Mytilus edulis: one gene and its partner. The protein of the gene in region 2 purifies or fractionates together with the protein of the main gene of each other region. This does not show direct contact. Links are inferred from orthologs where the notes say so. Each region holds a gene or a part of one and is shown on either strand. Other genes may lie near its edges.

Region 1 (7,650 bases), on a different chromosome or scaffold from region 2:
AATATCGCAAACTTCACATTCTTCTTTACATGTTTTGTTGCTGTTGTAGTTAGTACATATTTTGGTGATCTTATTTAGTTTTCCATGTACAATTATGTCTGCTAAGTTTCTATCTCTTCGATAAGCTACTAGTGGTGGTTCTGGAAATATTTCTTTCATCAAGTTACAGTTATGTAAAATATTAATTCTTTTTTTCACAATGTCATGAATATCAAGTAGTAAATCAGTAAAGGTTACAACAAGAGGTATGCGTTCTGATGTTTTTTTAATTTTATTTTTTCTCTGTAATAACTCTTTTCTATTTAAGTCATCTGCTCTTTTTAGTTGGTTTTCAATAAATTTTCCATTATAGCCTCTTTTTCGCAGTTGTAATTTTAGTTCTTGTCTATGTTTTTGATAGTCATCTTCATTTTCACAAATTCTTCTTAATCGTAATGCTAAACCATAAGGAATTGCCTTTTTTACATTTTTTGGATGGCATGATTTGCTGTGAACATATATATGTTTATCAGTTGGCTTTGTATAAAGGTCTGTTGTTAATTTACTATTTTTTATTTTCACAAGTGTATCTAAGAATTCAATCTGATTGCTGTTGTACCTAAGTTCCACCTTTATTTTGTCATTTATTGAGTTTGCAAAGTCCATAAATTCTTTGAGTTTTTGTTCGCCATGAGTCCAAATTCCAAAACCATCATCAATGAAGCGTTTATAAAATAATGGTTTCTCTTTGAATTTTTCCAGTGCTTTGTCCCATTGTCGCATATAAGTACAAGCAATGATTGTCTTATTTTCACCAATCATGCCAATAGGATACAGAAACTTACACAAATTTACTCAATAATTCATGAAAACTAGCGTCAATGTATATTTTAACATTATTGCGAGGCAGAAAGATACATAAATTAACAAAGGTTTTTGAGTTTGTAATTTTAGCAGTACAGTTTGGAAGATTTTTTGTAGATTATACTCACACTGCTTAATCTAAATCTTGAAAGGGGGGATATCCCAGGCTTAAAAACATAAAATCTTAAAAATTTAAATCCTAACATCCGGAAATTCGAAAAAAGAATTCCTGATTCCTGAAAAAAATCAATCCTTAAATACACCTGATCCTGACGTTCCGTAAAAGGTCCTGCTGCTCCCTCTCAATCTTGGGATATAAAGGCAGCATTCTATTAACCAATTCAGCCAGACAGTTCTTCTATATCTATAGATATCTTAGTCCTTTTTAAGGGCAGCCCATTCAAAAATAGCTCAGTCCCAATTACTGTATTCGGCCACAAGTCACTACAACAATACACCTTATCGCTAATCCCAGCTGACCCGGCCGCTTGAACTTTTGACCCATACAACAATCACTTTTCCATTGTGGCGTCAGATATTTTGTTTTGTGACGTCAAATTTTTACGGGAACCTGTGTAATATCCAGTAATGGTGGACAAATAGCGATAAGGTGTATGTATACACCTTACCGATAATTGTCCGCCATTACTGGAAATCACACAGGTTCCAGAGTTCGCGAAAAAGGTCAGTCCTCAGGATTTTACCCCCAAAATTTTGCGTGGGACTGACACAATTTTAGTATTTTTCAATAGAATCAATCAGTCAGGGGTGCTACATGTACAGGGGCGGATGCAGGAATTTTCGAAAGGGGGGGTGCTAACCCAGGGCACCCAGGGCAAAGGGGGGGTGCAAAACATATGATATTTCCCGATACAAATGCATTGATCGGCAAAAATAAAGGGGGGGTGCGCACCCCCGGAACCCCCCCCCCCCCCTGGATCCACAACTGATGTACTTAAACAAGTGATTTCATTATCACCTATTTCAATGATTTGATAAATTCAGTTATCACCTATTTAAGTGATTTTGGTGTTTCCTTTGATCTTCAAATGCTAATTTCATTGAATTTTCACAAACTTTTGTATAATTTTCCTACATAGATCAATTATCCCTTTATCTATGGATATTAACTTCACCAGTGCGCTTGAGCAGTAAGTTAGTGCGCTAAAGCATTTTAAAGTACCCTTGGGAATTGTTCTGTGATCAAATATTCATTAACTACTCTGACTATCAGACAAAGGTCAACAATATTACATGTAGGTAACCTGATTGGTTTTCTTTAGAGTTAGAATGATATACATGTACTTCAAGGTTATGTCCTGATCTACAAATTATTCCAGAAAATGCATATTTTAAATAAATTGTAAAAACTGACAGGCTTATCAAGCAAAAGACAATTTCTAGATGTACATAGTTGTTTTTTCAATGGAATTCTTTTCTTTTTACCAAAAAAAAAATAAAGCTTGTGAGAAAAATATCAAGAAAAAGTTATAAACACTTATTGAAGTGATCTTCTCAAATTACTTGTTTCAGTGATTTTAAAAAGTCTGTGTTTATTTATAGATTTTTTTTTAATATTTCACAGTCAAAATCACTTGAAGAAGTGATTCTGAAATCACTTGTTTAAGTAGTACCCCTGACTGTTAATAGTGAGAACCAGTGGATTTTCTTCAAGGACCACCAGGGGAAAAAAGATTTCGCAAACTCTGAGGTTCCTGTAAAGTTTTAACGTCATAATACAAACTATCTGATGACACAATGGAAAAGTGATTGTTGTATGACATCGATAGTTGTAGCGGGACAGATTGTTTGGTCAGCCGGGAATAGCGATATAATTTTTATATGTATGTAGCTGAACTGTTTTAAAACCTTTTTTTAATGACATATGATTTAAATTGACAATATGGGGTAAAGGATGTGTGCATGATAAAATGTATAAACCTCACACAAATGTGTGCATGTTACTGATGTGCCATAGATCAACGTAAATTATCTAGGGCCAGGCTTAGCAAAACTTCAGCTTTTCAAAAATCATTATTTGGAATTTCTGAACAGAAGCATTTTTACCTGATCATAAGTCTGTACATAAGCTCTCGTTGCTTTATTTCTGCATAACCTCCTCCAGTCATTGTGTTAGCTTCTATTTAGATAATTTGTCAGGAAGAACGCACAAAACCGGCAAAACTTACAAAATGTACAACGTGCGTATTGTTTATACTCTCTATACTTTTCTTCATGAACTATGATAAAACTAAAGAAGTTCCGTATTTGGGTTAGTTTTGCGCTTTAGTGACCGGGTGCAAAGTCTCTCGATTAAGAAACAAAATGAACTTGAATATTGTTCAAGATATGTTTTTCCAGACCCTCAAAAATGTAACTGTAAAATTATATACATCCACATTATTCATGTTATTATTAGATTATTGATGAATTGATTCTTACTGTGGCATTTGTCACATGGTATACTTAGACTGTCTTAGTGTGATATGATTTTGAAATTGCTCTGAGAAAAAGTCTCATCTCATAAGTAAACAGGATATTTCAACATTTAAAAAAAAATCATAGTTGTAATAGGTACATTTTTTGTAGTTACAGTTGTATGTATTTTTTTCTGTCAAAAATCAAATTGAACAGGTTGATAGAAAAAAATATAATAGCCCTTCAAGATGTCATAATTCTAGATGGTCTGCTTTCTTGATTGCACCATTGTTAGAGGTTTTGCTTAAATAATTTCTTCGTGTGTTTAATTTGTAAATTGCTTTTTTGAAATAGATTTTAGAGGGGGGATAGAACCTTTATCGGGACTCCGGGATCGGGGGGGGGTTTAAGCTCGGGATTTCGGGATTGACCCTTTCGGGATCCGGGAATCCTTTTTTTCGGATTTCGGGGTGTCGGGATTTGCTTTATTTAAATTCGGGACCTCGGTATTTCGTTTTTTCAAGTCCGGGATTTCGGGATCAAGACCCCTCCTATCCCCCCTCATTTTAAGATTTATTGTATTTTCAGTTTTAGAATAAACAAAAATGATAAAGATAATAAGATTTTACTGTTTTACAACAAAGTTAGTCAAATTCTAAAGACTAAACCATTTTTTAAACTGTTTCTTTTTAGAGTTTTAAGAATTATTTTGACAAAATAAAATATTTATAATATTGTCTTGATGATCAAAAGCATTTCATTCATGCTGAAGACCTTAGACAGTCACCAAACTTGTCACAGTGATATTGCAGAAATTTAAAGCAATATCACCAGCTCACACATTGAATCATACAATCTAAGTGCACTATTCCAAACGCAAAACGATTACTAGAATATTTAGTAACTACACCAAAGCTAGTATAAATACAACCCATCAGACCCAATACTACCAAATTAGCTTTCTCAATAAAAGTTAACAGTAATCATGAATATTATTATACCTTACATATATTACAAACAATTCTATTGGATAACACCTTATCACGTGACATGGAATAATTCAGTTAATTTTCATTTAATTGCAAAGGAGGACGAATAACCCTTAAAATTTACACCAGCAGTGAATAACCTTAAAGTTCACCGGCGAATAACCTTTTGAGTGTCTAGATTTGCACTCGAGTTATCTCCCATGAAAATGACTTCACAGACATAAATAAACAAAATGGCAGCATTCATGTTACACTACAACAGCCCATCGAGAGACGAAAAAATAAGGCTTTGGAAATGAATAGAGTGACAGCAGCCGATGATATCTCTTGTAGAGTAACGGTCCTTTTCAGGGCCATCAATATTTTACTAAAAGATTCTACCTTTGTTGTACATTCGAGAAATTCTAGAACACAAATGTATTTTCCTGAGGTATTTTTAAACGTCAGCTTGTGTTTGATAGTAAAAAATATAGTAAGTGTTTAAAAAGGCCTTTTCACTTTTAGTTCGTTATAATAAAATAATTGTGGCCCCTTAAAATCAATGATTATCCAAATTGTCAACCCTTAAAAGTTATTTGACTTCGGGCTGCACTCTCATAACCTTCTCGTATTGACAATTATGGATATTCACCTTTTGAACGGGCCATAATTGTATATTATTGACCATCTAATCACACAAGAAATGAAATTAAGCACTCCATTAAAAAAAGTTGTATTCATGAGAATATAAATATTTTAGTAGAAGAAGAAATATATGTTAAGTTGTGCTGTATACATTTGCTTCTGCACATTCTAAAGTTGTGAAGATTTTGTTGATAAAAACTCTCATATATTTTTCAATTTATTATTTATAGAGTATTTTATTGTAGAAGGTTAGGAATCATTGACAACCAAATTAGAAATCAAAGATATGGGACGGTCAAGCAAAGACAAACGGGATGTTTACTACAGACTGGCTAAAGAAGAGGGTTGGAGAGCTAGGAGTGCCTTCAAACTACTGCAAATTAATGAAGATTATAGTTTATTTAATGGTATGATTTAAATCTAAAAAAAAAATTTTTTTTCATAAAGGTGTTTTAATGACCTGAATTAAATTACTAAAGAGAATTCCTCACAAACAACCCACTAGTGTTTTAATTTATTCTCAAAAGATTGCTAAATAATCATCATATAATTATACTTAAAGACATGTACACTGAACTTTAAATTTTGAATCTTCTCAATACTCTTGAAAAAAAATCATTTTATTATGACCATGGGAAACATTTTTTACCAGATTCTTAGAATCCTTTTAAGAATCTTAGAATGAAATACATGTATCAGGTAATTTTAGATAATAAAAAAGACCCCTGAGATGGTATCTTACACCATTTTATTTTCGGGTTGCTGTCTCATTGCAGAATGGTCAATATCTGTTCTATTCATACTTGATAGCCTTTAGTAAATTTTGTTTTCATCTGAACACCCATCTGATCAGTGATCTGAACAAATCTTACCTCTCAACATGTGCAAAAATGTAGCCAGGTTTTATTACTTATATACATATCGTCACCTGTCCAATTAAACTAGACATATTTATATATGTTTTAGGTGTGAACAAAGTTGTAGATTTGTGTGCTGCTCCAGGAAGTTGGAGTCAAGTTTTGGCAAAGAAGCTAATGCAAGTATATTTATGGATGTCCATGTTGGTATTAATAATTTGTGGAAACCCAACAAAATATAAAGTGAAAAAACACAAATTAAAAGGAAAAAATAGGGTCTTTAACAATGCAAGTGTGTCTATACCATAAGTGAACTTAACAAAATAACATGTAAAATTTGCATGGACTGATAAAGAGTTAAAGGCCTTGTTTTCTGAATGTATAGAAGAGAGTTGTAATGATAGTGTTAAAAATGTAATGATCACGCAGACACATGACCATGATGACAGACAGACGAAAACAATTATTTTTTCTTAACTTATTGTTCTTCATTAAGGATTTTAGGGATTTTAACAATTTAAGCAAACATATATATATATATATATATATATATAAAGGAGGTAAAGGTTGATAGTTACCCATAAAGGATTTTGTTTTGGTCATATTTTAATGCTTTGCTAGCAAAAATGGCTTAAGTCGAATATATCTTCAAATTCATCTTTAAAAAAAGTGTGATGTTTAGGATTAAATATAATTATATGCATCAATATTTATTTGATTATGATAATTTGTAAATTACAGAGAAGAGAAAGAGAAACCTGACAATGTTAAGATAGTTGCAGTAGATCTGCAGGCTATGGCACCAATCCCTGGTGTGATTCAAATTCAAGGGGACATAACCAAGGTACAGGATGCAGATGTATTTATGTACAGATAAAAAAAAATATTACTATTAGGAAGGGTTTGGATAGATGGAAAAAAACACAGTAGTTTTGATAGATAGCAAAAAGCACAGTCAAAGATAAGAACATATCTATAATACTAAAATTACGAGGTCCAATTTATCAGCCGGCATCAGGTAAAAACGACATATCAAAGAATTCAACTTTATATATAGCTAAAATAGGACAATTGTGTAGATTAAAAATTACACCACTCCAGACCCTTTTGTTTTCCACATAATTAATATTGCCAATAATTAACAAGTTCCGGGTTGAATCCGGTACTGATACCAAAAGTATATTCACCTGTTACCCATTACCTTATCTGTACGTTCCGTATCTAACAGGCGCACAACCAAATGGTGTATTTGATTTTACTATATACACCGGTCATAATCACAAAGTCGACACAACTAAATTCAATCATTGTCAAATTGTTCCCTATTGTAGTTTTTTAATTAGTAAAACTTTCTAAGATAACAATACGAATACTAAAAATTTGGACTAAGGCGTATAGGTACAGTTTTCAATTTGTTAGCGGGCATGACACAAAACAGCGAATCAAACATTTGAACTTTATTGGACAATGCTGTTGATTAAAAAATACTCAATTCCAGGACCTGAATATTACCAATAATTGAAAAGTTCCAGGTCGACAGGTTCAAACAGAAAGATTTGAAAGCAGAGAAAACTGTGTATCTTATAATCGGCACGACTTTATCAGATGACAATACCAATACTAAAATAAGGCTTACGCATAGTTATATACTTTAATTCAGTCATGGACCCGCGATATCACGGGTGTGTTCTAGTAAACTGTTATAATTATAACATTGTTTTTAAAAAGATACGGACATACTTGACAAATGAAGTGACTTAAAATATACATGCATTTGTTTAACAGTCCACTATGTTTTATACTTGTTGAAGCATATATAATTGAAGAAAAAATGTACGGATTTAAAACATACTTCTAAAGTGTTAGTTTCTAACTGAGTTTTTTTAATTTGTTTCTTGTCAATGGGAGGTAATCAGGAG
Region 2 (7,588 bases):
AAATTTACTTCTGATTTACTATAAGTCATTAGTTATTATAAATACATTTGAAGATCTACATCTATATCAGCAATTTATATAGTTCTTTTATAACATCAAAAATAAGTTGTGTTTTTTTCTTCTTCATATTTAAGAAATGGATTCCTTTTCATCAGACCTCTTTTGTAACCTATTGAATTTGCAATGAAAATATTCAACCAAATAGTAGTTGAAATTCACAGCACTGTTCTTGCAATTTTAGGTTCCATTAAAGACATTGTCTATATCTTAATCTAGGACACCACATTTTATATCTTACACATTAACATTTCTGTTCCATCTCGGTGTTTTGGCACCATTATAATCTGTAGGCGTCTCAAACACAGAGTGACCAATTCTCATTCTAACATACGGATCCATCTTTGTTAGTCCATAGTTCTTATTCAACTTGGCCTGAAAACGTAAAAATTCAATTAAACACACTTTAATTTGCTAGAAAACTGAGCCATTTTAATGAATTGTAGTTATATTTAAGATTATGATAATCAGTGATGAACCCCTTTTTATATCCAGTTAAGAGATTTTATTTCATGTTTACAGTACTTGTTGAAGAAAGTTAAAGATTATTGAGTTGAGTAACTTATATACATGTATTTTACCTGTGCAACGGTTATAGTAAGTCTACCAACAGTATTTGCTGGGATAGCAACAAATCCCCCTTGTTGCTGTGCTTGTACGAGCCTTGCAACTCTTTCATCTGCCATTACTTGAGCTTGTGCTACATCTACAGGTACTCTCAGGAAATCTTCTGGTAATTCTCCAACCATAACCTAAAATTGAACAAAATATTTCTGTATGCATATATGTATTTCATCATGTTTCTTGTTCATGAATTCATCTGTAAAACAGCTTATTTTAGTGAATACTTTTTTCCAGGTTTATAGCTTTGCTTGTTGCTTGTAGGCCAATTTGTCAGAAACTGAGTTTTGTAATTTGTAATATGGATAATGCATTAATGTAAAAGAAGACCCTGTTTTCAATGAATCATATTAAAACATCATTAGTTTACTAATAAAAAATAAAGAAGAAATATGAGACTATACATGTATCTAGAGTAAAAAACATTGCACACAGAAATGCTGCAAAAATTATACCATTTAAAAATTAACAGATTACAAAAATTTCATGAATTTTTACAGTGTTAAAGGGATTTTCTTTTTATCATTTTGAATGTATAATTTGTACATGTAGCACATATAGTGTGCCTACTTGTCTGTTTATGTCATATTGTACTTCTGATTAATGATGTGATCCTGTATTTTTTAAAGAAAATGCTTCTGATTTTTTTTTAATTTAAAAACCTTGGTCCTGAATCACTTATAATTAACTGAAGAAAATCCATTGCCCAAATACCAATGGTTCTGACATATTTCAAAACAAGAAATCAATTCAAAAGAGAGTTCTGACATATATGAAATCAAGAAACTAATTCAAAAGAGAGTGGTGGAATGATAATTTCCAGGACATTGATTAAATCTTTATTTTTGCAGGAATTCAGGATTTACACTTACAATTATTTAAGAATAGAGGAAAAAGGCCTGATCGAAATATAAAGAAATACACAACACAGAGAAGCAGATTACCATGATTACTTGTAACAACAAACTATGACACCTGTTATACGAATACGAAAGTTTTATTTTGATTCGGTTCACATATTTATAACAAGACAAAAATAAGCTCTTAACCCTTTTTTCCATGGATTTTCTTTTACATTCTTGATTAACATAAGATTTTTCTTACTAAAAATAATTATCAACTTAAGTATTAATGCATTGCAAAAACGAATATTTCATAAATGAAATTCCAGTCAAATCCTCTCATGAATATCCTTGTTATATTAGATACAAATTAGTTTTATTAAGTCTGATAAAGTTTTTTCGTAGGTAAGCCGGTTAAACTGAGGCACTACACAGGTATCATTATGAAGAAAAGGGGGTGGCGTCAAAAGGCATCATTATGGATCCGTAAAGGGGGTGGCGTAAAAAGGCAACATTATGGAGGAAAGGGTTAAGAGATTGTTGAGCTAGTGTCATAAGTTTGCCATTAAAATGACGCCTGGTTAAATTATAGATTTACAGAATTGAACAGACGAACTTCAAAATTGGTAACCTAGGGGTGCTGGATTTTCTTGATGCATTGAAGACCCATTGGAGGGCTACAGCTGCTATCTGCTCTTTGGTCAGGTTGTTGTCTCTTAAGGTTCATGTGGACCCTATGGTTAAAATGGCCGTATTTTCACCTCAAAATTTTCTCTGAGTAGAGGCAAACCTGTGCATCTGGAAAAGTTTTAAGGCATAGCATGCCCTGGATAAATAGAATTCAAATGCATTGTATGATTTAGAAAATTCATAACTTAACTGGATTTTGCCGTACACTTTTTTTCGTCTCTGCAGAAGATGATGAAATTAACAAACAGTTGAGTTTACCTTGAAATGGTCCATTATTGTCAGGTATCTATTGTCCATTTAATGTCCATGTCAATTAAAAATGCTCACTTTAATTTTTACCTGTGGGGAAGTTCTCAAACCTGTTTCCCAACTTAGTTTATTTTGGCACCTTCTGAAGGAATGAAAAAAAGTGCACGGCAAAATCCTGGTAAGTTTTTATTTTTCTCAAACATAAAACATACTTAAAATTCATTTATCTAGGGCATGCTATGCCTTAATTGTTTTACAGATGCGCAGGTTTGTCTGTACTCAGAGTAAATTTTGAGGTGAAAATACGGCCATTTTAGCCATAGGGTCCACATGAACCTTAAATTTGACCTGAGACTACGTACTATAACACATATAGTAGTCTCAGCTTTGACACATTCCCCATTTCCATTCTCATTTTTTTTTTTAAATAAAGAATGAATTGACGAATATGTTCAGCATCAATACTTCTTCATTTTTGTTTGTTTTATTACTTCCAACAAATATTAGACATGTTAGACAGTTCTAAAGCAGGAATTAAAAAATGGTAAAAAAATATATGTCCATTTTGGACCTATTAAAACGAATTTTCTATATATGTAATCTGTAAAAATGTTGACTTTATTAAATAACATACCTGATTTCTTCGAGTTGCAGAGGTGGTATCATTTGTTGAGGCCATAACGAACTGCTAAAAGTCTTATATTTTTTTGTTGACAGTCACAAGTTATGAGTAATGGAAAACTAAAGACCGAAAATTTTATGCAACGGCCGGTATGGAAAAAAAGACTACACTGTTAACAAAGTGATAAATCATGGTATAAAATGTTCTTGTAAAAGAAATAGCAAAATAATATATATCAGGACTTTATAACTTCAAAAGTTGAAATAACATGTTGACAACTTTGAAACTACGCACGACAAACTGGTATCTAGACGTATCAAGAGCAGATAACCCTTCGTTAATCTATTTTCGTTTTGGTTGGACACATCACTCAAAGTTGGAAATGGACCATGGCAGGGTTTCAAGCTTATGATAAAATAAAGATCATAGTCGTTGGCGATTCTGGTAAAATTTAAGTTAATTTATCACATACCTGTTACCAGGTTACACCTAAAATTTCTGTATGAGGCCAAACAAAAAAGTATCGTATGTGTGTGTTTACTGTCATATGCTGATTATTTTTTAAGGGTAGGTAGGTAGGGAATTGTTTTTATTTTAATTATTTTTTTACATTGAGTCTATGGGAGCAACATTGTGACTTTAACAGTGCTTAATCAAAAATGGTAAAAAAAAACTTTACAGTATGGGTAGGCCAAATAGAAGTGCACAATGCCGCATCTCTGGTTTGTGATTACTGCTTGGAGTGGTTTCACCAAAAATGCCTCGGACTATAACATGCTCCAAAAACAACTTACTGGATTTGTAGAAACTGTCATTGTAAATAAAAGTTTAAAAAATCGTATGCAATATTGTAAATATCAAATAAAAGTTAATACATTTTCTCAGTCTCATTATACATTGCAGTCTTTCATGTAACAATATATATTTAATGCAATGTAACTGTAGACACAAATATTATTGTTACATTCGTAATTAATCTATCAATGCATTTGAATGGGGACATATGGTTTGACCCCCCCCCCCCCCTTTTTATCCTGGGTAGGGACCCCCCTTTTTAAAATGAGTGGATCCACCCCTGAGATCTGTCTTAATACCAAATCCTGACATGATAATCACAGTATATTTATCATTTTCATAACAGTGTGAACAAGACCATTTCTTTGCACACTTCAGGATATCAATTGACTGGGTCATATTACATGTAGGTGAACTTTATGTAATGCCAATTTGTTCAATCCTACATGTTATAAACATTTAAAATGTGGGATCACCAAAGGTTCTAAAAGCTAAATCACATAGTACGAATAAATAGCAGAGGACTACACCTTGTGGATTGATTTAAAAATATTGAATACTTAAACTTTTATTTTTTTCTTATTGTGCACCTGCATATACTTTTCTCTTTTATTCTATTTAAATCCGAAATTGGAAGGCCTCTGACAGACTGAGTGAGCGTAAAATCACTGATATTGGTAGCCTATGACAAACAAGTTAAAGATAAATGATTCAACATAAGTATTCATCCATGGCGGTTGTCCATGCTGTTATGAAAACGATTTTATATATTGGTAGAAGAATGTACAAAGAAATCATTACAGTAAAAGACAACTTAGTCATACAAACAAACAAAACAATTGAGCTGCTTTTACTTTGTGGGGCCAGTTGGTTAAAATTGATGGGACAAGTATGTAGAAAGTGGGGCTAGTTTGTCTGTGGAAATTTGGTTGTGAGTGAGTTTTTCAGCTTCACAATGCAATTTATGTGTCATATTACATGTTTTATATCTTTTACATATATATATTTTACAATTAGGTGTTGGAAAGACTTCACTGGTACATTTAATGTGTCATAATGAACCAAATTCTAATCCAGGTTATACTATTGGTTGTTCAGTAGAGGTCAAGGTAAGGATTCAACACCACTTTTTGGGTAAAGATTGCATGAAAATGCAAGCTAAACCCTATAGCTATGTTACTGACTTGACATCTAAATCTTCCAAGGCTTATCACTACCTTTTTGATACACAAAATATAGTGCATTGATCATAACAATCTATACATTCTACTATGATTATTTCCAGATATTTATCAATCTAATATGATTTAATCTGTTCTGAAGATATACATTTGTAAATGATGTCATTGTTAAAGTCATCTTTAAAAATTGAGTTATCTCCCATTATCCAGAATTTTAGTTGAATCAACTACAACCAATGCTTTATACAATGCAATATTTAATTTAACTTCCAACGGATAAATTAACGCAATATTTACCATTCAGTGCTTACAAGCAATTTGATTAAATGTTATTGTTGGTTAGTTTGTTTTTGTCTTGTAAAGCAAAATGAAGAAGAAATGTTTTCTGACATTGTCTGAAGCTTTAACATTAATAAATATATGACTCCCACTGATTAAAGTTACATTTACATAATCAAACTTAATAGAAGTGAATCTAGAAATCTTTTTAAAATATGATATACATATATTTATGAATGATTATATTTTATAGCTTCACGACTATAAAGCAGGAACTCCATCAGAGAAAACTTACTTTACAGAATTGTGGGATATAGGTGGATCATCCAGTCATCAGAACAGTAGATCAATATTTTACAATAATGTAAATGGTTAGTTATTTTTTTTTAAAGTATTGGTGAACTCAAAAAGTAATTTAGTAATGAAATAAAGCAACATAAACATTAAATGAAATTGAAAAGAGTGTCCTGTTTAACAGGATTTAAACTTATACAGTTTACTATATGCTACCAGTGCTGAACAACATTTTGTCAATATTAAACACTATACATTTTTATCTGCATAAATTCTATGATTTCCCAAATCACTCACATCCAAGGCATAATTAGCATATTATTTATCCATACTGACAAACAACCGTTTTCAATCCCTTAGAAATTTTTAAATGACATTTGAAAATAAAAAAAAAATCTTAAGATTTTATGCTTGTTGTGGTCACTTTGACATTCAGCTAAGATATTTATAGATACAAGGAGGGCTATATATCAATGAGACAGAAAAAATCAAGAAGAATTTGTAAATTTTCCCTGTTTGATATTCCAGAGTTATGGACCTTAAATTTGTTTTTCAGTCTTGCGACAATTTCACACAAAGGGTGTGTCTTATGCTCCTCCCTTCCCAAAGCTGTCTTTTTCATATGATTTTTTTTTTACTATCATTGCATTTTTGAATAGAGCCATATGATTTGACCCCCCTTTTGAAAATGACTTGATCCGCCCCTGATAATTTAGCCTATTTACCTGTATTACTTAATTGTTAGTGAAAGGATTTAACTATTATTTTGATATTTTACTACAGGTATAATTCTAGTCCATGACTTAACAAACAGAAAATCTCATCAAAACCTTAGAAAATGGCTGGGTGAGGTTCTCAATAAAAATGATGCAAAAGATTTTAACAATGGGTAAGAAATATTTATATGACTCCTCTTAAGTAGTGACCTAAGAAGATTGTTATTATACCTCAAATCAATTATTGGATGGTTTACTGCAATTAACTTGGAAAGCTCAGAAATTATATGAATCAATCTTTGCTCAGCTTCAAAACATATGTCACAGAATTTTTAATAACTTTTACTAATTTTACAATCAACATTTATCTGTCATCTTCTATAATATTAGCTGACATGCAAAAACAGTCATCAGATGCCATTATCAGGGATTCAAATTATTGTTGGTCTGCCCCCATATTTAAAACCTTTCTTTTCTTGGAGGAAACTGTTGATTTTTTTAATTGAACACTCCAGATCTTACAATCACAAAACTTGAGTATGATAATCATACTAAGTCTCAGAAATCTAAATACTGGATTTTAGTGTTTTAAGCACTAATATTTACTCTGTGTACTCAGTAAAATTTTATGAATGAATGGCCAGGACCTCCATATCGTGACATTGACACTTTAAGCAAATTTGAACCCTTGATTATTGGCTTGACAATTACAGCTTTAAAAAAGATAAAAATGCTCATTTTGAATGTTGGTTATTTAAGCAACCTCCCCCCCCCCCCCCCCCTTAGTCAATATCTCTATTCATTTCATTGTAAACTGCTATTAAAATGAGAGACTAAAAATAATAACTTTTTATACCCCCGCTTTAAAAAAGGGGGGGTATACTGTTTTACCTCTGTCTGTCAGTCCGTCCGTCAGTCCGTCCGTCCGTCAGTCATCCCATGAAACTTTCGTCACATTTTTCTCAGGAACTACACATCCACCCTTTCTGTAATTTGGTATCAACATTTATATATGTCAGTCATACTGTGTGATGCGTTTTCAGATTCATCACTTGACAACTTACTGTTTACCGAACACTTGTCTGATTTTACACATGATAGCCAAGTTGAAAATTTTCGTCACATTTTTCTCAGGAACTACAATACAAGGATTTCTGAAATTTGGTTTCAGGATTTATATAAGTCAGCTATACCGTGTGATGCGTTTTCAGATTCATCACTCGACAACTTCCTGTTTACCGA

Evidence for each region.
Region 1: the proteins of toll-interacting protein-like (region 2) and cleavage stimulation factor subunit 1-like purify together in Homo sapiens (co-immunoprecipitation; 3 studies listed by BioGRID and IntAct, with this or other methods). This does not show direct contact. The link is inferred for Mytilus edulis from reciprocal best matches to the Homo sapiens genes TOLLIP and CSTF1.

Annotation. Positions count from the first base shown.
Region 1 is NC_092356.1:6,401,784-6,409,433, forward strand, and holds the start of cleavage stimulation factor subunit 1-like, read right to left. Parts: upstream 3,091-7,650; 5' UTR 2,973-3,090; coding exon 2,911-2,972; intron 1-2,910. Other genes in the region: tRNA (cytidine(32)/guanosine(34)-2'-O)-methyltransferase-like, read left to right, coding at 5,161-5,281, 5,841-5,910, 6,473-6,575. UniProt on the Homo sapiens protein: One of the multiple factors required for polyadenylation and 3'-end cleavage of mammalian pre-mRNAs. May be responsible for the interaction of CSTF with other factors to form a stable complex on the pre-mRNA.
Region 2 is NC_092353.1:33,032,349-33,039,936, reverse strand, and holds the start of toll-interacting protein-like, read right to left. Parts: upstream 3,237-7,588; 5' UTR 3,139-3,236; coding exon 3,094-3,138; intron 810-3,093; coding exon 639-809; intron 433-638; coding exon 299-432; intron 1-298. Other genes in the region: rab-like protein 3, read left to right, coding at 3,471-3,525, 4,894-4,985, 5,590-5,707, 6,414-6,519. UniProt on the Homo sapiens protein: Component of the signaling pathway of IL-1 and Toll-like receptors. Inhibits cell activation by microbial products. Recruits IRAK1 to the IL-1 receptor complex. Inhibits IRAK1 phosphorylation and kinase activity.